Styela clava: one gene and its partner. The protein of the gene in region 1 interacts with the protein of each later gene in a biochemical or structural test. Links are inferred from orthologs where the notes say so. Each region holds a gene or a part of one and is shown in the gene's direction. Other genes may lie near its edges.

Region 1 (12,685 bases):
AGTTGGGGCGTTCAAGAGGTTTTCAGCATGGTCATTATCAATGTAAATGTACCAATGCGGTGATCAAACTGACCTAATCACAATGAAGTATAGGAGGAAAATTTGTAAATATTAAAGCTCAATAAAGGCACTCAAAAGATCTCATTTATATAAATACAATATTCAAAAGAAATAATATAACAGTAATCAAACATATAGGATAATTCTTATATCATTTGGATAATTATGAAAGTGATGGACAACTAAGACAAGTACAGTATGATTAACGAATTAAACGGGTTAATAAATAGTTGATGGTTGAATAGAACAACATTGCACGCTATAAAGAAATATCAGGTTAGGAAAAACATGTCATTTAAGATTGCACACTTTTAAATATTGCATAAACAGGTTGCATGAGTTCATTAAATTTTTAAGGTGGGGTCTTCTTATAGGCCATATTAACCCATGCATACTATAAGTAACAAGGAATTGTCACTGTATAATTTCAGTACCCATGTGACGAAGGAAGTGTGCATAATATTTTAGCAGTAGTATAGAGAGCACAGTAAATATAAATATAAATTGGTACAACATGAATAAATCACAAAAAATGAGATAATCAATAAAAACAGATTAGTGGTGTCATAATGTACAATACAGAATGAGTATGGGAGGAAAATTTGCAAAGATTGTAACAAAAAGAATGCATTCAATGGAACTCATCAATGTAAATAACAAAACATATATCAGAAATTTCCTAGTACAGTATGAGTTGTATTTGTTTCCAAATATTGGCATAGAGGGTAATAAATTAACCATGGTGCTATACAACTTATGACCCACAAAAAAATAAGGGCATCCACAATTTATGGTATCCACAGAAATATAGAACATATATGATAAATCCCCTAGTACAGTATGAGTTATATTTGTTTCCAAATATTGACATAGAGGGTAATAAATTAATCTTGGTGCTAGACAACATATGAGTTCTGACCCTCTAAAAATCAAGGACAGCATCAATTTATGGTATCCACAGGAACATATTATGATTAAATAGGTTAATAACAGTTGATGAAACAGCAAAGCAAAAATGCACACTATAATAGAACAGTTCAGGCAAATTGTGTTATTTAGGGCTACACACTATGACAAACAAACAGCAATTGATTCATAAAATAGTTGAGGGTTAGGTCTAATTGGCCATAAAACCAAATGCGGACTGTTGGTAATAATGCACAGAGTGTTTATTTCCAGACCCTTATGTTGCAAGAAAGGGTACACATATGTTAACAATAGTATATAGAGTACAGTAAAGATATATATATATATATTTATACAGCATAAGTAAGAATACTCAAATGATGGGGGTTGTTATTGAAAATGGAATTATGGTGACAATAATGTACAAATACAGAACAAGTATGAAACAAAAATTGCAAAGAGAAAGGCTCAAAGGAGGCTCTTGATGGAACTCAATTAAGTAAATGTAGTGTTTAGGGGAAATAATACAACAGTAACAGAACATTTATAAATGATTATTCCACATAATAATAACTATGCAAATGAAAAGCACGTATAGTATGAGCTATAATGGTTTCCAAATAATGGCATAGTGGGTAATAAATTGACCTAAGGGATAAATGGTGATGGGTTGTCAAAAAAAAAAAAAAAAAAACTGAATTCATAAACAATTTAGGGTATCCCTTGAAAAATATGCTTTCAGACAAAGATATCAGGGGTGTATTTGTTAGATTTAAAGATATAGTTAAAGAATATGCCATGTACACAAAAAACAGCATATATATGCAGACACAAATAATCAGATAAGTTGACAGTTGATAAAACAGCAAAACAAATTTGCACACTATAATAGAACAGTTCAGGCAAGATTTCTAGGGCTGTACATTAAAACAGACATACAGCATTGATCCATAACACAAAAATGAAGGTTAGGTCTTATTGGCCGTAATACCAAATACAGACTATTTTTTTTTATTAGGCAGTTATATAGAGAGCAAAGTAACAATATTTATACAACACAAGTAAAAATAATGTAATTAATAACAACAATGAAAGGGTAGTTATTAAAATAGATTTGTGGTGACAATAATGCATGACACAGAATAAATGTGGGAGGATAATTTGCAAAGAATAAAACTCATTGGAGGCTTCCAATGGAACTAATTTATATAATTGCAATATTTAATAAGGGAGTTATACAACAGTAATAAAACATATATTTTACATAAGAATATCTATGCAGATCAAAAGCATGTATAGCTTGAAGTATATTGAGGAAAAAAAAAAAAAAAAAAAACTCAATTTATCAACAATTTACGGTATCGCTTGAAGTATATGGTTTCATTCACACAAGGATATTAGAGGGGATTTCGTTACTACTTATACAGTGGGTTTGAGGATATAGGTAAAACACGCATAAATTTGACGAGAATATAAAAATAAGATAGAGTATTAGACAAAACAGTTTTGTGGTGGCATGAATTGCAAAAATGCCTAATATGCTTTCCCAATGAGAGATCAAGATTTACCAAAGGTTTAGGAGGGATTATTATGAAGCTGTTAGTAACAGATTTCTATATTAGTATTTGTCAATGAGATGCTTCATATATTTAGACTTAAAACTGTTGTAGGATGATTCCTTGATGTCATCAGGAATATTGTTCCAAAGACAAGGACCTGTTATTTTTATAGAACTCCGAGCCGAGCTTGAATTTGTCCTTTTGACAAAAAATGCTCCTCTACCAGCCAACCGAGTATTATATCCATGAACATCGCTACAATTTGTAAAGTAGTTTTCAAACGCATCAGGCAGCATACCATTTTTAAAACAAAACATGATTTTGGCCACTTCCAAATTGTATACATCCATAAGTTTGAGGATGTTCATATGTTTGTAGATCGGACTTAAATTTTGTCGCAAACGTGTACTAGTCAATATTCTCAACGCACGATTTTGTAAAACACTGATTCGATTCAGATAAGTCTTAGAAGCAGAGCCCCATGCCACAATTCCATATTGAAGATGAGTGTAGAAAAGCGAAAAATAAACAGTTCTTAAAACTCTTTTAGGTACAAGATGTTTCAATTTGGTCATAGCACCAAGGGCTCTTGACAGCTTACGAGCGAGCTGATCAATGTGAATTTGCCAATTTAGTTTGTGATCTAGGTTGACTCCTAGGTACTTCACAGAATCATATGTAGTCAATATCGAATTATTTAGGGTAAATTTTGGAGTTATGTTAGAGGATTCAAGACTTTTGGCACAATTAATTAACAAGACTTGTGTCTTAGCAGGATTCACAGTAAGTTTGTTTAGAGTGAGCCAGTTAGAAATATTCAGCAAGTTTGCATTGACTTTATTTTCCAAGTCAGGCAGATTTTTTGCTGCAGACGTAGAACTTGTGTCATCAGCGAAAAGTTTTATTGAGGCATTGGTAGCGTTTACGATATCGTTAATATGTATTAAAAATAAAGTTGGTCCAAGAACCGACCCTTGCGGAACTCCAACTGAGACTTTTCCACTCAGTGAGGCAGAACCACCTAATGACACATATTGATTTCTGTCATGCAAATAACTCGCAAACAATTTATTCACAACTCCGCGAATACCATAGTGACTTAATTTGGTAATCAAAATGCTGTGATCGACAGTATCAAACGCTTTTTTAAGGTCCAGAAATACGCTACAACCTACTGAGCCTTCATCTATAATGTTATAGTACTGACTGACAATGTCTATTATTGCATGGGAAGTGCTATGTTCATTACGAAAACCAAACTGGTCATTATTTAGTACTGAATGTTTATCTAAGAAGGATTTTAATCTAACTAGTAATAATTTTTCAAAAAGAATAGCAAGACATGATAATATTGAAATAGGGCGATAATTTGATACTTCACACTTATTTCCAGATTTAAATACGGGCACAACTCTGGCTACTTTCAAATGGCAGGGAAAAATTCCTAGAGACATTGAAGCATTAAAAAGTCTACATAAAACAGGGCTAATGATATTTTTTAGAACTTTCAAAAGGTTGATTGGTATACGATCATGACCTTCTGCCTTACCATTAGTAAGAGAATTTATATGCGTTTCAATCTCAGAAGGAAGGGTGTCCTCCAGATACATAGATGACTTATTTGGCCGTTTTAAATAATTGAAAAAGTCGTGACTATTACATCATACTATACAATATAGACCGGTATGAGTGAAATGTTAGGTGAACTTGTTAACCCTTTGAATCAATACGCAAATAAAAGTGATTGAGCAATAGTACGTTACAGCAATGCGTATATATCCTCATTGGTTAGAAAAATCTAAATGGAGATGCATGAACTATTTGAAACCATAAGGGGTAATTAAATATGCAATTTCAGCAAATGGGCAACTACGTACCGTACTGAATTAATAACTTCGTAGTATTTGAAAAAGCTTAACAGTGCGATGCCCGGGTGTGATATACAAAAATAGTATTTACCTTACCTTTTTCCGATTTCTTTTTAACTTAACTTTCCAAAATATCATTAAAATCGACAACAACTGTCAAAGCAAGCACTAACATCATTCGTGCTATGCCTTGAAAGCAGCACACATCCGCTCGTTTTCGTCTCGTCAAGTATGTGCATTGGAGCGTGTTATCGATTACGATCTTCGGCCAAAAATGCCGGAGTTGCGCATCATGTTGTTTAATGTCATTGCTCATACTAAACGAAATCAGGGGAGCAGGTGTGTTCATGCTTGAATGAAAATTTTTCCCACTGGGTGGAGCTACGTGTTCATATATTTGAGCATAGCTCTCTTGTTAACTAATCCCGTACCCGACATGAACTGGTAACAGGACGAAAGGCCGTGGTTCGCCGTGAGCTTAAGGCGCCTTATCGATTTTTTCTTACCGAAATAATTATGAAAATCCTATTAATGCTAATCCGGACAATGGCAAAATAACGCTATGACGTCATCAGTTACGGTACCGGGAAATTCTGAAGGTGTGGGGTTTCGTGTTTGCCTGCTATAATGAGTTTCTATTCATCGGCCTGATTTTAGATTTGTGTGAAATGGGAAATATGATTAATGGATTCTAAGATATATGCAGATGACTGAGAACTCTTGAGCATATTTTTATATTTAGACAACTGTATAACAAAATTTTATCATTTTAAGTTTTGTTACTGTTAGGCTAGGGTTGAGGTTGAGCCAAAATTCTGGGATTGTTGATTACAGGATTACGGCTTTCAGGCTTTACAGTACGGTACTGCAGTACCCAATCACTGAATCAGTAATTTATTTTTTCACATACCGAATATACGAAAGTATACAAACAATAAGGTAAAATATAAAATAATGTATTTCAGCATGAAGGGAGACGCGATAAATCAGTCATGGTTATCGAGCAAGAAGAGTAAGAAAGATTTATTGCCACAAAACGCGGGTCTCGCGTAGTTTAGTACCTAACGTGCTTCTAGTGGGCGTAGCATAACAATTATTTGATATGTCAATCCTAACCCCCACCTGATTACGCCATCCAAAAATTAAATTGCTACGACATCACAATCACGTCATAGAGCTTGCCAAATATACGCACGATCGACCAACATGGCATTGGCGCCGGCGATAAAGAACTGACTGACGTTATCGGTCTCTCTCCTATTGGAATCGTTGCGACGAGAAAACGAGAGAGATAACTTTTCGATTTCGGGTGCTCGTTTGCGCGTCTTGGATGGCAGTTCGTATAGTTTGAAGGGCTCTATTATGTCACTGTGACGTCGTAATGACGTTATTTTTGAATGATGTAGTCAGGTTGGGGTTAGGATTGATACGTGAAAAAATTGACATTCTACGCCCACTAGAAGTATGTTAGGTAAGAAACTACATGAGACCCCAAAACGCCACCTTTGAGGAAGTGTAACATAGCATCATAAAAAACTGCGCCACCTTTAAGGGAGTCTAACATAGAATCATGAAAAACGGGAGAAGGAAGCCGAACAATATTTAATTGGCCATTTAGGTGCGTTACGTTATTTAACAAAAATTGGCCATTTATGTGCGTTACGTTTAAGCGACCTGGGGTTTCGATTACAATACAATTTTATTTCGATCTTTTGTCTACAACACAGAACACAACTAAAAAAACACAGACAATGGCGACAGGAAAATGGGAAAAACCTATATACAGTACAGCACACTATCCAAATTCCAAGAATTTCCCTCCATTTGGCTCAATAAATCAAACGCTCTATGTGTCTCACAAACAAGGGGCGTCTGGACCACATCAGATGCTTCATATCGCGCCATGCTTGTTTCAATAATAATCTTAATATATCGCGGACGTCACATGACCAAAGTTGCCGTTTTTTGCTGAAAACTCTCGAATGCTATGGTAACATTTTTTTTCTTTGGTAAATCGGAGGGACAACAATGTCCAGACGTCCACCAAAGGAGGGGTGTCTGATCATCTGTAAAATTGGTTTCTCTGAAACGGGACAATGTCACTCGATTTGTATAGTGTGCCGTACTGATATAAAGGTTTATAACGATCGCTGTACTGTAACCAGTGTTTGTGCCCATTTACTCACACTCATCGAACAAGTGAAAATACATCACGATAATCATACAATCATACTAGGATAAATTCATGAACGTGCATGAACACGAGAAAATAAAATTCATGAGCAAAGCTTGCTTGTAAAGTTGTAAAAAATTTGAATGAGTGAAATTCATGAAGAATTGAAGAAACAATTGAAAATTATATTACCGTGCCTGTGTAGAAATATGAATACCAATAGAGAGAGAGAGAGTAATAGCGATATACACATAATATTTACCGGTAACAAATTGCTGAATTTAGTGAAGTTTAATTGGTTAGCTGCTTCTTTTTATAAACAAACAAAGCTAAAAAGCAAACATAAAAACTAGTTTCGGGCGATCGCCCGAAATGACATCTGCTCCGCCGATAATGAACTTGCTAAAGCCGGCGATCTCTCTCCTATAGTGATCGTTGTGACGAGAAAGATTGCTTGCTCGATTTCGGGTGATCGTCTGTGCGTTTTGGACGAGCATCAGCATACTTCGGTGGGCCTTATTACGGCACTGTGACGTCGAAATGAGGTAATTTTTCGGTGACGTAGTCAAGTGGGGATTAGGATTGACATATGCAAAAATTGTTGAGCCAGGTCAACTAAGTACATGTGGTACTAAACTATACCAGACCCGAAGATACAACGGAAAGTCATTGAAGTAGTCCATCCCCATATCACAGCTGCTTTATTATTCATTTAATGAATCTGTAAACTCCTGAATGCTATGATACAAGCAGTTGGCCACAGTTTGTAATCAAACTGTCAAATGCAAAGTTGGGTATATTTATATATGGGTATGGACAAGAAGCTATGAATTTCCACGTAGTTTAGCCCTGTTATTGTATTTCCTCTCCCCCTGGATAAATATGAAAATTTTATCCGTAACAGACACCTGTTTTTACTTCATGTGTTTTAGATCTCACAATTAGGTTAAACATTTATTTGTATCACAATGTTTGCAAATGTAACGACACATACACCTATCAGGCTGAGAGATTTGATTCGCAATATTCGAGCTTGTAAAACTGCTGCGGAGGAGCGTGCTGTTATCAATAAAGAATGTGCAGACATCCGTAACGGATTCCGCGACACTGATACCACGTTTCGTTGCCGTAATGTAGCAAAATTATTATATATTTACATGCTTGGATTTCCTGCTCATTTTGGCCAGTTGGAAACGATGAAATTACTCCCTAGTTCACGATTTACTGATAAAAGAATTGGATATCTTGGTGTAATGTTGCTTTTGGATGAAAATCGAGAAGTCCAGCTTCTTATGACGAATTCATTGAAGAATGATCTTGACCATTCAAGTCAGTACGTTGTCAGTTTAGCTCTCTGCGCTCTTGGAAGTGTCGGATCAGCAGAGATGGCTCGAGATCTTGCACCTGATGTTGAAAAGTTAATGAGAAATTCTAACGGATATATCAAGAAGAAAGCTGTTCTTTGTGCATGTAGAATCGTTCGAAAAGTACCAGAATTGATGGAAAATTTTATCCCGTTGACGAAGTCGTGTTTGAACGATAAAAACCATGGAGTTGCCTTGGCAACTGTGTCCTTGATCACAGAAATGTGTAGAGCGAGTCCAGCGGTTTTGAAAAGTTTAAAAAAGCTGTGCCCGACTCTCGTGCGGATTTTGAAGAATTTAATCATGTCTGGATACTCGCCAGAGCATGATGTTTCTGGAATTAGTGACCCATTTTTGCAAGTTCGTATTTTACGATTGTTAAGAATCCTTGGATCACACGACGGCGAAGCTAGCGAGATTATGAACGATATATTGGCTCAAGTTGCGACGAATACTGAAACTAGTAAAAACGTTGGGAATGCAATTTTATATGAAACGGTCCTCACAATCATGGATATCAAATCTGAAAGTGGACTGAGAGTTCTTGCCGTCAACATTCTGGGCCGATTTCTTCTCAACAATGATAAAAATATCCGCTATGTAGCGTTGAATTCTCTTCTGAGGACAGTCCACACGGATATGAACGCTGTGCAGCGCCATCGCACCACTGTTCTTGATTGTTTAAAAGATCCGGACCCTTCGATTTTGCGTCGTGCAATGGAGTTGTGCTTTGCTCTTGTGAATAGCCATAATGTTAGAGGAACTGTTAGAGAGTTACTTGCGTTTTTGACCCGTTGCCCTCCAGATTTCAAGTCCGACTGTGCGTCAGGAATCTTTCTAGCTGCGGAAAAATTCGCTCCTAACCGTCGCTGGCATATTGATACGATGTTGAAAGTTCTCACGACCGCTGGTAATTATGTTAGAGACGACACCGTTCCAAGTTTGATACATCTGCTATCTGATAGTGATAAATTACATTCCTACGCCGTTAATTCTCTTCTAAATGCAGCAAAAATGCCTGAAAATATTGACCAGCAGCCTTTAGTTCAAGTTTTATCCTGGTGTCTTGGAGAATATGGAGACGAGTTAGCTGAAGGGCATCATGATTCTGGAGATGTAATTGAGCCAGTCTCTGGCGACCAGATTTTAGATTTTCTTGATGACACTATTGAAAGTTCATTATCGAATCCCGTAACAAAAGCGTATGCTATTAATGCAATAATGAAGCTCAGTGCACGAATACCAGGCATAGAATCTAGAGTTCGTCAAATTATTGAGCGCTTTGGAGTTTCACACAGCACCGAGGTACAGCAGAGAGCTGTGGAATATTGTGCACTCTTGGATAAGCATCATAATCTATGTGCTGGTGTTTTAGAATCGATGCCGAAATTTGAAAAGCCGCCGGCGGAATCGATCGAAAGAGAATCTGAAACAAATTATGGGGAGGAATTGGAAGACAGAGAAACGGAACAAAATGTGGCAACAGTGAAAGAAGCAGCAGCACCACAAAGCAATATTGATTTATTGTTAGATTTAGTCGATTTGAATAATTCCGCAGCATCGGACACGCCCATTGTCCCGCCCATGGGTGGGGCCCCTATACAACCAATACTTCCGATGAGTAATTCTCTTAATCTCCTCGATGACATCATGGGGTCTCCCCCACCCGCTATGCCAAATACGAACGGGATTATGGGTTCAGCCCCACCGCCAGCAATTAACGGGTTAGCAGGGCTAATGCTTGGTGACCCGGCTCCTGTTGCCACAAATTTCATTCCAGAAATGACAGCGTTTGAAAAAGGAGGTTTGAAAGTTATTTTTTACTTCGATAGGAAGCCAGGAGACTCAGTGCTTTCCATCAATGTCAAAACAAGTAACCAGACCCCATCTGAAATTTCGGATTATGTATTCCAAGCAGCGTTACCGAAGCAGCTACAACTCCAGATGTTGTCGCCATCAGGAAACGTGGTTCCACCGAACAGTGGTGGCACTATAGAACAGCCAATCAAAATTAACAACCCAGGAAAAGTGCCGTTGAGAATGAGGCTACGAATCTCATATACGATCAACGGACAACCTGTTACTGAAATGGGGGAAGTGAATAATTTTCCTGCTGCTTCATGGCAGTAGAGAGTTTCAAGTGGGCTCATTGCCCCCCTCAAAAGTGTATTATCACAAACTAAAACTGTCCCGAAAATGGGCTTTGTTGAAACTATCAAGATCATATATTTATATAGTTATATTTGAATTTAGACCAATTATGATGTAATAATATAATGTTCCCGCACCAACAAATTTTGTCAATCAGGCCTTGGCATATGGGGTAGTTAATAATCCTGGGTTTGCATTTTCTTCTTATTGTACTCGGAATGGTATATTATGGAATTATATTCGATATTTAAAATTCTTGGTTTTCTGATATATTATAGGGTCCTTAAAGTCTCAAAATTTTTTTAAACTGCAAAGGGAATTTATCGATACCATATTGTTTTGGCCCTCACAGATGTATTAAATGAGGTAAAAATGATTGAAAAACAACAATCCTGGTTAAGATATATTGAGAACCAACTTCATATCAAAATTGAAATGTACTAAAGGGACTTTCTTGACACCTGTATAATATGTCGGTACTTCCATAGTATGTGTACCAGGTTATGGTTAGGGCATAATTTTATTTTGATTTTCCCTATTTTAGTTCCGTTACGAGTTCGGCGACTGTTTGTGTTAGCCAAGTGGATATACCCCCTGCTCATATGTTTCAGTCCCTTCACACAACTTGATGTAAAGTAGGCGAACAAAATTAGTTACCTCCATATTGGTACACACACTTCTGAAGCGCCTATAAGTCAAACCAAAGAGCCTTGATAGAATATTTAAGAAGTGTAAAATAATAATCTCATTGTATCTGTTCTTTGCTGAATTTAATTTAGAATGTATTCAATTTTTAGAAATATAAATTTACATTGTATTTGGAGTGAAAGATTATTCAGTTTAGGCCATCTCTTTTTTAAGACTTCTATCTGTTTTCAAAATGGAGCCCAGTCAAACAAATTACTCCAACTAATTACTAATTGTATATTTTTATTCAAGTATGATCAATTTCTCGCCCTTCCGCCCCTACACCCCCCCCCCCCAAAAAAAATTAAGATGTTTCATAATCACCAACTATGCTTTAATTAAAATCATTTTCAACGGTGCATTACATTTTCTTTAGTTGACTGTATGTCTATCTAACCCTTTTTGTATATTTTTTTTTGTTCTTCCATTATGCCCTTTCAACGTTACATATCTTTGACAGAAAATCAGAATGTTAAAATTTCGAAAAAATAATTCAGTTACAATTGCTAGAAATATGTTAAAAAGAAATCACTCAAAAAAAGCTATTGTTTGTTTCATTTATTTTTTCATTTTGTGATCGTCGTTTTGTTGTTATAATAATTCTCATTGTGAACCATCCGATTAAGTTTCTAAGCTAGCACTATAGCATGCTATCTGCTACTGCATTTTTCAGGTCTGGTGTAGGCTTCTTCTAGGCTCAACAATATTTGCATACGCCATTTGTAACCTCTACCTGACTATGTCATCTAAAAATGATGTTACTAAGATGTCACAATGACGTAAAAGGGCCCTCCCAAAGTATACCGATGATCGTCCAAAGCGTGCAAATGATCACCCGAAATTGAGCAAGCTATTTCTCTAGTTTTCACTCAACATTACCGGGCTTTTGCCAATTAATTAATGCTTTAATAACTCTTAGTCTAATTTTGAGCCTTCTTTAATATATAGACCTGTTATTTTAGAAGAGTATGCCTTTGCCTCAAGATATTTGGAAAGTGCATAACAGTGCATTTTTCTAGTTTTTAGCTAATATTAATTGTACCTTACTCAAAATGCGTTTATATATAGAATGGTTTGAATATCCCTATTGAAGTCTGATTGTCGCGTTTAGTAAGGTTTAATTACTGCAAACACTACAAAAATAAAATATTTATTTTCTGGCTTCCATTTCTAATTTTTGTAATACTCGAAATCTGAACTCAAAACATAGAGTTACCAATATCGCAGCCAGCCACAAAGTAAATGTCCAGAAAACCACTGAAGCAGAACTGGTAGCATTAATACCTTCTATTCGATATGTAATTATTCCGCCAATTTGCTTTCAACTCAACTTTGCCTCATAATTTAGTATGGGTTGGTTTCAAATACAAAATGAATTGTTAGAGAAATACCAAAGTGAAACTGGCAGCATCCTTACCCTCTGTTTGATATGTGATTATTCCGCCAATTTGCTTTCAACTAGATTTCACCGAAGCAGAACTGGCAGCATTTACACCTTCTGTTTGATATGTAAATATTCTGCCAATTTGCTTTCAACTCAACCTTGCTTTGTATATATGAAGTTAGGCTATTATATTTTCTATGTTATAATTTCCTCATATCTGGTATTGATTTATTATGTTGAATTATCAAATTCACAATTTTTTCCACTTTTGCAGAACATAACAGATTTTTGGGTCAGGGGTTGTAAAAATCATTCGTTTCAAACTAAGGCTGTCTGAAATTTTTGAATTTAAGAATAATTCAGAATATTTTAATTATAAAACTATCATTTTGAGCAATTGAAGTTTAGCTATCTGACACAAAAGCTTTCATTACCTACACTGAAAACTGAAAAAACAGGAAACCGATAAAATCATTGTTTACTTTTTCTGCATTTTAAAATTCAACTCGTAAAATATAATCGATTTCTGTGTG
Region 2 (12,123 bases), on another chromosome or scaffold:
TTGTTGTGACAGAGATGTTTCTGAATGACGATTGATGTGGGACTCAAAGCAATTCACTTCAATACTGTCAGAGTAACGAGTATTTAGAAATAATTTCACAAATTTTCATAAAAGAATTCATAACAGAAAGCTAACATACGGAATCTTTATAGGTAATTCATTTGAACTTTTTTAAATTTGGCATTTCGACAAGAATTTTGTGGAGTGGCTTTTGAAACATTTTGCTTTCTGTTGTATTTACTGTGATATGAAACGCGATTTAAAAAATTCAAGAACTGTTAAACCTTGAACTTTCAAAGATACTTATATATTTTTCTCAGGCGAGGTGACAAATCGCCACTGTATTTAAGATCACCAAAGTAACCGATGTGTTAACATCACCTACATTTAATTCGGCTTTCCTGTAAAACCAATCCACAATATTTGTTTTGTGGCGCTTTTATTACCTTTCCACTCCAAACAAGACTCCCCGCAAGCAGGTTCGGCTTTGGTTACCCAATTTATCATATCTTAGGCGAGGTGGCGCTAGGACTCGACGTGTTTAAACATATTATTCAAACTTGGTTATCAATATGTCATTACACGTTTAATGGCAATGACAGTTCAGTGTATAAACGTGTATTGTTATTGTTTGTACTCGTGGTATCTTTTCATATAGTGTAAGTGTGTGTGTATTGGTTTGGCATGTGTAAACCCGAGTCAGACTTTAGGAACATTTTTGGAAACGACGATTATATTAAAATGACGTATGTTTTTAAACATAGCGACTCGACTCGAACTTTAATTTGAAATAGCATGGTCATCTGAGTCCCGAAATGTACATTGGATACTGTCCGACTTCGATTAGACCGAAGTTACACGTTGTCAAAAAGTACACCGTCTTTCTTCAGCGAAAATGAAGTTAGACGAGACTTACCTCTAATGATTTGCAAGACTCGACTTCTACTTGAGTTGATCTAACCCTGTCATGTGTTTTATGTTTCTTTTGAGACATTTCACTGTACTTTTCACTGTGATGATTTCGAGTGTTTCATTTTATTCACATTTTTTCATTAATCTCGTTTCAGTCAATAAAAAACAATTGGATTTGTTCATTAAGGGGTACGGGGTATGCGGCAATATCAGTGATATTACATACGGTGCCCTGGGATTCCATATTGGAACATTTCTGGGTCGTGAGTGTACCTATTTCTCATAACCACCACCCTTCCTACGGTACGGATTACACAAAATAATATTATAAGACCAAATGCCATAATTTTAAACTTCATTTTTAAAAGTTCAACTCGCTAAATAATATTCCCCAACTACTTAAGCGCAAAATCCCGTTCTTCAAAATTGAATCCGTGTCAAATCACACTTCATTCTTGAATAACTTTATTTTTTTTCAACAGTTTCCTTTCATAAAAATATAGGGATTCTGCATATATATCTCTATTAGAATTAGGCGCTGGCTCAGTACATGTCAAAAAAGAAAATTTAAATTGCATTTCAATTTCATTATGTTTATTTTATCAGTTTATATTTTAAAATTTGGAAATTTTATTACATTATTTATAGGTTACCTCGGTGAGAAATAATCCTGGAAATAACGACCGTAGATTTTACATTTACATTTGTCCTAATAATATATTTAGGCTGATACTGATTATATACTGTGCGATGAATTCTGACTACAGTTCGTAACTGTCAGATAATCTGCGTTTTATATCAATAAAAATGTATGTACGAAGAGTACATGCTGCTAGTGTTTAGTTCCGAAAAATATTTGATTCAATATTATCGAGTGTGCGACCATTGCCGCGGCAAAAAGCATCACTCTAATACGATTTTATCTACGGGCTGTACGAATTTTAGTTAGTCGGGTATTTCGTTTTCAGATGTATAGACTTGATGGTGGAGGGAATTGTAGCCGACCAGCGATTACGTGAACCACCCTACGACGGCGAGGAGTCCAGCAATCATCTCACATATGGGATTCGAACCTGAGAACCCACGAAGGGTAATCAGAGGTGTTGTGGCAAGCGTATTTCTAACGCTTAGCACGATGCGCCACGAGTCCGGCTTCAGGGCATTCCCTCGTCATGTTGACAACCCAGATACAATCGACTCAATGCTAGGCAAATGTGCAATTAAACATGTTTGCGAACCAAAGCATGAGTAAGAATTTGTATTATTTTTTGTGTTAAATTATTTGGTAGCTAAACATCCAAGCAACTCTTCAGCAACTAAGAATGTGCATTGGTGAAACTTTTCCAGTACTTAGCCAAGTACTTTAATTGATCCTGCTTACAATAAAATAAATGAATAGTGTAGTAAATATTCTATCAGAAATAAAATGCAAGATATAGCCTCAGGCGACGAATAATGTGAAGCCTTTTGATGAGTATGGCATCAAATCCAACGCCCTCAGGGAGAAAATACAATTTACTCATGCGAATAAAAAAGAGAAAGGCAAATGAGTCGCGTAACGACGTGACAAAGTTTATCGGCCGGTTCACTGGCCAGTTTGATGTCCGCGAATGTCGTGTTGTTAGAAGTCGGAAGGTTGAGAAGAAATGGTGCTGTGGTAAGAGTGACATTTGTCAATGAAATTAAAAACATTAGTTAAAACAGAAATCTATAATCTATCTAGGCTATAAGATATTCTATAGTTCACTCTAGTACCATATGAACACAAAAACTCAGTTACCCCATGGCAAAATAATTCCAGAATTATGACCAGTTAATTGACACAAAAATGGGAAGTAGGCTACAAATATTAAAGTCCATTATTTTTCGCCCTAACACAGCAAAATACTGACAAAACCGGAATATCTAAGGTTAGACTGAATAAAACTGAAGATATGTTTATACTGTTATCTGGGTATAGCCCAGGGCCAGGCTCTGTCTGTAACACCAGCACAACTGACACTGCACAGCAGAACAGTGAGCAGGTGAGACAATGTCTGAATGTGGTGGTACAGTGTTCAGGGTTGCCATATTGACTTTTTAAGGCCAAATTTGCCATTTTTTTCGCTTTTTCCAAACACGTTTGGCGTCAGAATTTCTGTTTGGCTTTTTTAGGTCTCTTTTAGTGTCTATTATCAAAATCATATGAGATACAATATTTATATTTAGTGTATAACAACAACCTATTGCTACTTACCGTAACATTTGGATTTCCCCGAGCATCGATTTCCTTGTTCATTATCTTAACCATAACCAATTACTGAATTAAAAATAATGTCAGTTTCTGCAGCTGCTCAGATAGATGTTCAAGCAGGGTCAAGCAGTAAGCAGGGTCAAGCAGTAAACATTCTGACATTGCCTCGTTTTTTTTTTATTTTGCGCGTTATTTGTCAGTTTTCAGTTCTGTTTCCAAAAAATAACTTAATTGACATTATGCCCAGCTATCCCAGGACTGCAGGAACTTTAGTTTAGTTGCAGTAATCAAAATTTAGTCTCACGAACGATATGATCAACAACAGTAAAATTAGCTATCAGTACTGCAGTAGTCCACCTGCGGGCAGGGGGTTGGATAATTTTTTTTAATAAAAATGATGGTTTCTAAATGTTTAGGGAGAATGTTTTAGGGCACCTATATCACTTACTACAGTACTAAAGAGCCACCCTGTATTGTATATATTGAATTTTAAAATAATGCTGTCTGCTTGATATATCTTTTTCTATTTGTTTTTTTTTGTGATTTTTTTTTAACTTTTTCATATAGATGTCAGCTTGACTGTATTGTGTCGAATATAGATTCTGTTGCTGCCATTCAATTAATCCTTTTTACTTTAAACCCGTCATCCTGCTGAAGTGGAAATTGCAACCGAAAATACAACATACGATTGTGTGGCTCACTAAATGAACTGATGGCTCTACATCAGCATATTGCAAACCCATCATTGTACCAAGGGCATCTAATCAGACAAATCATGAGGCTTTTGTACTTAGTAAAATTGTTGGCTTTTTTTCGTCTTGATTTGGCTTTTTTTGATCGCTGGGATCTGGCAACCCTGACAGTGTTAGCAGGCAGCAGCGGTGTCAATTCAATAATAATTCGACAGGTTACAGGGTTAGGACCAGAAGACAGACAGACTACGGACTGGATAGGCGTCAATTACAGAATTACGATTTCATTAACATTTTTAAGATCTTTTTGCGTGCGCTATACTGCTATAAATAAAACGAAAACCCTTGCTTAACTTATCTTTTTTCTGTCTGTACAACTGTACAAGGATATCCAATTCTACAAATTGAGAGTAAGATATAGCCTAGGTGGCCAAAGACCTACCGTAAGTTATTAAGAACAAAATTTATCGCATTATGCAGTTTTGTGTGTAATATACAGATATATCTGTATATACTACTTGGACTTATGTAGATCTTTCCTACTACTGTACTATTTCACCCATCATCTTTGGAGGATACAGACAGTGCTTTGGCTAACAAAATGATATTCTGAATATCAAGTTATCTATTATTAGTGACTTTCATGTTACCCGATGGCTATGTTGTGCAGATGAAAAAATGACAAATAAAATTATCTTTATATGATTAACTAAACATACGGCATGATGCTGGTATTCAATTTCAGGATATAGTAAATTCTTTATTTCACTAATGACTTCGAACATTTTTATTTTAAAATTTGTCATATTACACATTTCTTATTTAACAGCCAAACAAAAAATGTAACTTCTGACATTAAAAATTATAGAAAATCTATCAAAACAAGGTGTATCACAACTATTCTGCATTATCAAATTCAATTTGTATTAATTAATGTTTTCTGCTAGTTTTCCCATCGGCTACAACCCCATTTTAAATGTGTTCAAAATAACATATTATTAGATTTCGGCTATCCCTGATGACTACATATTATTTCCCTAACAAATCATTTGATCATAAAACAGACTTACTTTTAACATTATGTAAACCTAGTTTTGGTGGATAAATTTGATATCCTTATTCAAAGCCATTTATTGATTTTTCAATAAAACAATCGTAATTTTATATGGTAAATATTAATCTACAAAATCAAGTTTTAGGACAGTATGACCCGTTTTAAATTAACGTAACTGTTTCATATCAATTACTTTGTAAATATTGTAAAATGAATCAAGAATATTGCAAAACAAGGCAAGTTGAGTACAATATTTGGGTGTATGTAGTGTTTAGTACGACAATCGCATATGAACTTGAAAATTCATCAAAAAATTGTAGGCCTATACTTCATATATGAAAAAAAATTATATTTCAAAACTATTCTTTTGCGAAGCTGCCAGGCTTATTAGAGAAAATGTTGACATTTGAAGGGTCACAAAAAGTTGATAAATTCATGCTTTCATTAGCTGAACATTTTTTAAATTGGGATACATATTTTTGTTAGCCTTTGCTAATAAATTAGCAGTATATATTTCATTACTGGACTCAGAAAAAGGACAAGCGGTTGCCATATCTGTATAAGACTTGGATGAATCATCTGGCACCATAAAGCAAAAACATTACAAACATTTGAACTGATTGTTTTCCTTTGTATACTGGTATTCAAGATTGTATATGAATGAGTCATTACAGTGTCTATTTGAAGAGTCAAAGAGACTTCTGACTAGTAGCATTCTTGTAATATGGGTCAGGCAGGCATGGACTTGGAGCAGTACTGCATGAACATTTAAAATTGGAGCAACAAGTGGTGTATAACAGTCGTTGATCTTAATATTGAATTATTTTAATTGGTCATGTTTTTTGTTCAAACCGTAAGTGGGAAGTCGTGGCTATATCTGTTTTGATGTGAGAATAGGATAGGTATAGCCACTAATATCAAAGTAGTAGAACTAAGTTGGATTGGTGATGAAATATAGGATATTTTTTGTACCAGTTTGGCAGTAAAGAATTCACAGTTACCAGGTTGGTATGATTCTATACTACATACCCTGAAGAAATGTGAACCAATACTCGAATTTTATAATATAAAAAAAATATAAATTATCACAAATTTTTCTACCAGTAGAAACCGCACTCTGCGACACATATAGCAAGTTGACAAAGTGAGATATCCGAGTGCCCTGGTGGTGTCTGGTCACTGCAGTGGGTGTGCTGCTGGTCCTCTCCACCAGTCACTTGGCGAGTACAGGTAATACTAGTGATTTTATCTTTAATACGGTTGTGTTAACCACAAACATGTATTATTTATAGTTTCAATGTAATAACTTGTTTAAATTATGCTTTCCAGGTAAAAAAAAATATATATTTTGGTATTTCTCATTAGCTAATATGAACCTTCTACCATGGAAAATTCGGGAACTAACCGACAAAGTTACCAATGTTGTAATGAATTATACAGAGGTGGAGGCTCGAGTCCGTGAAGCCACAAATGATGAACCGTGGGGTCCTTCAGGAAGTTTGATGCAAGAACTTGCAAATGACACTTTCATGTATGAAACATATTCAGAAGTTACAGGAATGCTGTGGAAACGAATATTCCATGAAGGCAGAAGCAACTGGCGTCGGATTTACAAAGGACTTTTAGTGGTTTCGTACTTGTTGCGCAATGGATCAGAGCGTTTTGTTACCAGCACTCGTGAACATATTAACGACCTCCGAGCATTACAAAATTTCCAATTTCACGATGAACACGGCAAAGATCAAGGCATCAACGTCAGAAATAAAGCGAAAGAGTTGGTAGTTTTCGTCAAAGATAATGAAAGGTTGCGAGAGGAAAGGAAAAAATGTAAGAAGAACAAAAATAAATATGTGGGGATGTCTCACGAAGAATCCAAATTTGGTTTCAGAACACAACAGAGATATGATGAAGATGATTATTATCGCCATCGTCGCCAACATTCAGGATCGGATACCTATCATGATTCACCATCAGACGGGAGACGTGACACTCACAGACGAAATGAATCTAATGGTTCAGCTGCGTACAGTGATGATTTTGATCCGACTGATAATGATCGCAAATCAAGGGGGAAAGAATCCCCAAGAGGTGTCAAATACAGTTTCAGTGTTGAAAGCTTAGAACAACACAGCGATAAAGAAACGATAGAGGAATTACCAAAGCGAATATCATCTCCTGCGATTACCAATAATGCTTCAAAACCTCGTAAAGCTGTACCTTCAAAAAAAGTTAGCTTAGGTGCAGCAGCTCAATATACAGGTGATCAACCCGCTAAAATATCTGGATCTAGCCAGAGCAAATCATCAGGAGGTACAACAGCTGATACTCTCGACCTCTTTGGATCTAGTACTACAGAAAGCCAGCAGCAGCCTGATTTATTTTCAGATTTTGATTCACTAGCCACTACAAGAAGTGCGCCCAATGTAGCCCAGGAAGCAACTACAACTAATGGCGATTTTGCGGATTTCGGCAATTTTGAATCTAACGCTGCGCCATCAAGTTCAAATGTCGATCTTTTCACATCAACGCCACAAATGTCGTTAGACCCGTTTGCATCCTTTGAAGGTAACCAAATGCCGCAGCAGCAGCAGCAAACTATGATGGCTCCGCAAATGCCTCAACTACAGCCACAGATGAATCCTACGAATATGTATAATAACCAAGGTTTTAATATGATGAATTCTACTACTCCCGTTATTCCCCAGCAACCCGCTGCCAATCTGATGTCACCGACGTCACCCAATCTAATGCAGGCCAATTCAGCTCCTCTCATTCCGAATCAACCAACAATGGCTCCATCTTCACTATCCCAGCCAATCAGTGCTACACCTGCATCAACGGCAGCATCGAAACCTCTAAAACCCAATACTTGGAGTGATGTTAAAGGAGTTAACATTGATTTGGATCTTTTTGGAAAATCTCAAAAAACTGCCCAGCCATCTATGAGACAGATGCAACAAGGTACGCCTGTTGGAAATGTTACCATGGGTATGGCAGGAATGAATATGACCGGACAGGCACCCGGTATGCAATCACCTCAAATGCCTGGAATGATGGGTCAGGGTGCTCCAATGGGACAGCAAGGAATGAGAATGATGCCTAACAGCAATATGATGCCGCCCACTCAACCCATGGGCATGATGGGAATGGCTGGACAACCGAATATGGGTCAATATAATATGAATCAAATGTATGGGAGTGGGATGGGAGGAATGTATCAAATGCAGGGCGTTCCTGCAGCAAATAATTATAATAAACCTTTTTGAAAAGACGTTTAGATCATAACCATCTCAAATGACGATGCATATATGCATGATTGCAATTGAAGCTTCTAGTGACCTGAAATATGCAGATAAGATGCATGAGTATTGATCCCTATCTCGGTAAAATTTTAAATATGCTATATTTCATATGGATGATTATTTTTGTTAACAATAATGAACACCAATCACCCAACTTGGCATATGAATCTTAATAAAAGTATTCCAACAACCTGTTGTATTTGTATCTATTTATATAAAAAATTATAACAAAGATAGCTGATGGCCCTAAAATTTATCTTTTTTAATAATTATTTGATTGTAGTAATCAAGTACTTATTAGGTTTATGATCCCAAACAAGTGCATTTTATTTTAATATAGCGTTTCCTTCGATACCTATTGATGTGATTTTGATCTCTCGTAGTCCTATTAGGTTATATACACAGTAACACAGGCATTTATTGTTCGACTGTAAGATTATAATGGTACTGGCTAAACTGTGCATGTTATTTCTCTATATCATTTCTCAAATTTGATTCAGGCATATCAATCTTGCTACCTAAGTGGAGCAAAAGCTTTCATATTTGTATGAAGTTTCGATTCATATTAAATTTGTGATACCGTAGGTAATGTTCAAATTGCCTTGATAATCCATAATAAAATATCAACAGGAAATAGTTGTATTTTGATCAGAAAAATTTACTACGTTTTTTTTTGAAAGTTATTTCATACAGTGACTTTGTGACACTAGTTTCACGAGGTGCACACAATGTACTATTTACTTTTTGAAATGCCCGTATCATAGATAAATATCCGATAGTTATTTTATCTTTCAATGATAGGATAAGGCACCTGCTTTTATAAAGTTTTGTTCTTTGTTTTAGGCATTCCAGTTTAGTTTGCTTTTTTTTATGATTTCTAGGGTGATGGGTTGTAATGTAGATTTGGATGATGTCACCTTTTTGGTGGCTTTGTGTAGGAATAGTTAATGTGCTTAATTGTATGTTTCACATAACCTGCCTGCGGTCGGAAAGTATTACAAATGTGCATTACAAATTACAGTACCCTTTCAAAACATGAAAAGTTTCTATATTTTTTAATTTGATTTCCCAGTGGTGCGATTATAATAATCCTTAACTGGCTTAAGACTTTTTCATGGAAGAAATTAAATAGCTGTATACGATTCTATGTGATTTGTTATGTTACCCTGGATATGATATTGATTTCTGTAGCGGAATTGTTCAAATTTTACAAATAATTCTTCTGTGTCAGTAGGTACCAATAGAAGTATTATTTTGCATAAGATTCAAGCAGAATTGTTAAAATTGTCATGAACATGATGATAAAATGCAACTCCTAAGATTAGCCCGTTTTCCAGTCTTAGGCATGCATCTGATTTTGTGTTTTCATATATTTATCGTTTAAACCTATGAAATGTTTTGGCTTGATGTGCTGTAGATACTTATTAGGCTACACTTTATTAGTTGAATTAAATATTTATATTATTCTTAGCTTTACTGTTAGTTCATAATTTCACTTCTAACATGATTTCTATATTGGGTAAAACATTAAATAGGTTCTGGTGAAAAAGCTGGCCGTTTATGTTTATGCTTGTATCCTTATACGTTTTAATTTTATTGAACCAATTGTTGATAATAAACAATATTGTACATAGAATTTTTTGTTTTTTTCCCCCTCAAATCCATATTTACAAGTGGTATTTAATTGTTATGAAAATTGTCAGCTTTCTGTAAATGCTGCTTGAAAAATAAAAATATCAACAAAAACAGGATTTCTCCCAGATGAAGAGTGTGTTATTGTCCACAATATGATAATCAGGAGTGCTCAGATGAGTCAGATCATAGCTTTGTAGCAAAAAATCTTGCGTTCTTATTTGACATACCGGTCATATTGTTTTACAGGTTCCAGTAGAAATATTCGTCGTCTAAATTGAGATTTTGGTTTTTATCTGGTGGGGTCTGAAGCGTTGGGCTGATAATTGGACACCATTTGCCGGCATCAAAACGTTCCCAATCTAAGTGGTGCTATTGATGAAATACGAAGCTAGGATTTTAGTCAGTTGGGACCAACTTTTGTAAGAGCAAATTGTTTATTGTCAGGGTGGTAATTTTCTCAGTCTTCAAAGTCAGATTGTTGTGTGTTTGGTCGGAATGCTCGTTTTGTCATTGATATTTGCTTTCAGGCCGCCTTGCCTCCCATTTTTTGCAATCGCAGCTTGTGAATGGTTGACGGGTATGTGTCAAATGTAGTACCATATTGCGGGGTGAAACGAGAATAAATATTGACTATTCTACGCCATAACCAGGGATGGCCATAATGGAATACTTGACTATTTCGAATACATTCTAAAACATATTTTCGAATCTGGAATTCCGAATATATTCTAAAATTCCCCACATATTTTATTCACTTTTCTAAAATCCATGGACCAAGAAATTAAGCTCAATAATATTATCATTCTAAAGCAGCTATAAGTACAAATGGAATATGTGATAATATTGAAACTAGTGTTTTTTTTGCTTCTAAAAAAAGAGACATGATAAACACAGTATTCACACCTATGACCTATGGTGTATCTTGGCAAGCGCAGAAAAAAGAGCAATTATTCGCCTAGTGAAATGTTTTAAATTCTACAGGAAAATCCAAAGTTCTCATCGGCGCACACACTTTTTGACACGGTTAATTTTTGTTATAAATTCTGACTGTTTTTCGTCTGCGTGAGTGTTATTTAGTAGACCACCTACATCGTTAAGCTAAATTCCGCCACAATTATCCCTCTACACAAGCACTAGTTGTTGTGCTAGCACGGGCTTTAAATTTTATTTTGCTCCACCATTCCCTAATTCAGAAAAAGACGCAAATGTTATTGCGCAATCATCGTCATAATCAACTGAGTGAATCCGATTCCCTAAATTCCATCAGCCAATGACGAAAAATTAAGACCGAAAACCGTGTTTTATTTTCGAGTTGACTTAAATCTTTCTTGTCGGTTGTTATACTTTCAATCGTGCTTGTGAATTAATACCGTCAACTTAAGCTGAATGATATTATCCTCAACGACGCCGGGAGAAGGTAAAATCCGCGATACTAAATAATACTTGAGAGCTATTTTATACGCTGTGAATTGCAACAAGCAATGCGAAAATGTACTGTTATGTTTGGTCACTATCGCAAGTGATCATGAAACCAATTCCTACACAATTTGCGATTAGATTTATTGCCACGGCCGCACAAACTATCTCGACTAAGTTGAAATCAAAAACATCCTCGACGTGTTCGTTATAAGATAAGCACTTCTTGTCGGCGCTAATTGAAATCCTTTCATCTCTGCTGTAATTTATTGTCGCGCCGCACATGTCTGTCTTCGATAACGATAAAAAAAAAGTAATTGTAAAATGTTTTCAATAAAAACGTGGACGGCGGCGCTGGAATGTGTGCGCGATATTCGGTATTCTTGTGAACACTGAAAACGATATTCGAAGGTCGCGACATTCGAATATTAAATTCGAATTGGTCATCCCTGGCCATAACAAAATTCATTGATGTGGAATTAGTTTCAATTAGGTTAGTTACGATTTTAGGATAATAAATTTTCCGAATGGAGGGTACGCTCCACAAAAAGCATGCGGTGCACGGTCAGCATTTACAGTGCTCAGAAGACGCAGGGTGCAAGATAAGCAAATCAATTTATCGTTGGCTTAAAGTATTCATATGACAGCTGACTTGTGGCTTTCAACCAACAACATCCATGCTGTACCGACTCATTCTTATTGACGGCTTCATTTTTCAAACCTATTTGACAAAGACAATTTATTGATTAGATGTTACCTGAGTTTTGGCAATTAACAATTCAAAGAGCATCGGTGGCATTTCATGTTGCAACTAAGCTTTATTTGTTTGATAGAACACCGACTAGTGGTGTATGTATGTACTCTATGTATAACTGATAT

The links.
Region 2: the proteins of AP-1 complex subunit gamma-1-like (region 1) and clathrin interactor 1-like form a complex in vitro, tested with the Homo sapiens proteins (2 studies listed by BioGRID). The link is inferred for Styela clava from reciprocal best matches to the Homo sapiens genes AP1G1 and CLINT1.

Annotation. Positions count from the first base shown.
Region 1 is NC_135263.1:916,085-928,769, reverse strand, and holds AP-1 complex subunit gamma-1-like, read left to right. Parts: upstream 1-7,482; 5' UTR 7,483-7,534; coding exon 7,535-10,060; 3' UTR 10,061-11,058; downstream 11,059-12,685. UniProt on the Homo sapiens protein: Subunit of clathrin-associated adaptor protein complex 1 that plays a role in protein sorting in the late-Golgi/trans-Golgi network (TGN) and/or endosomes.
Region 2 is NC_135256.1:17,755,901-17,768,023, reverse strand, and holds clathrin interactor 1-like, read left to right. Parts: upstream 1-6,220; 5' UTR 6,221-6,261; coding exon 6,262-8,157; 3' UTR 8,158-9,953; downstream 9,954-12,123. UniProt on the Homo sapiens protein: Binds to membranes enriched in phosphatidylinositol 4,5-bisphosphate (PtdIns(4,5)P2). May have a role in transport via clathrin-coated vesicles from the trans-Golgi network to endosomes. Stimulates clathrin assembly.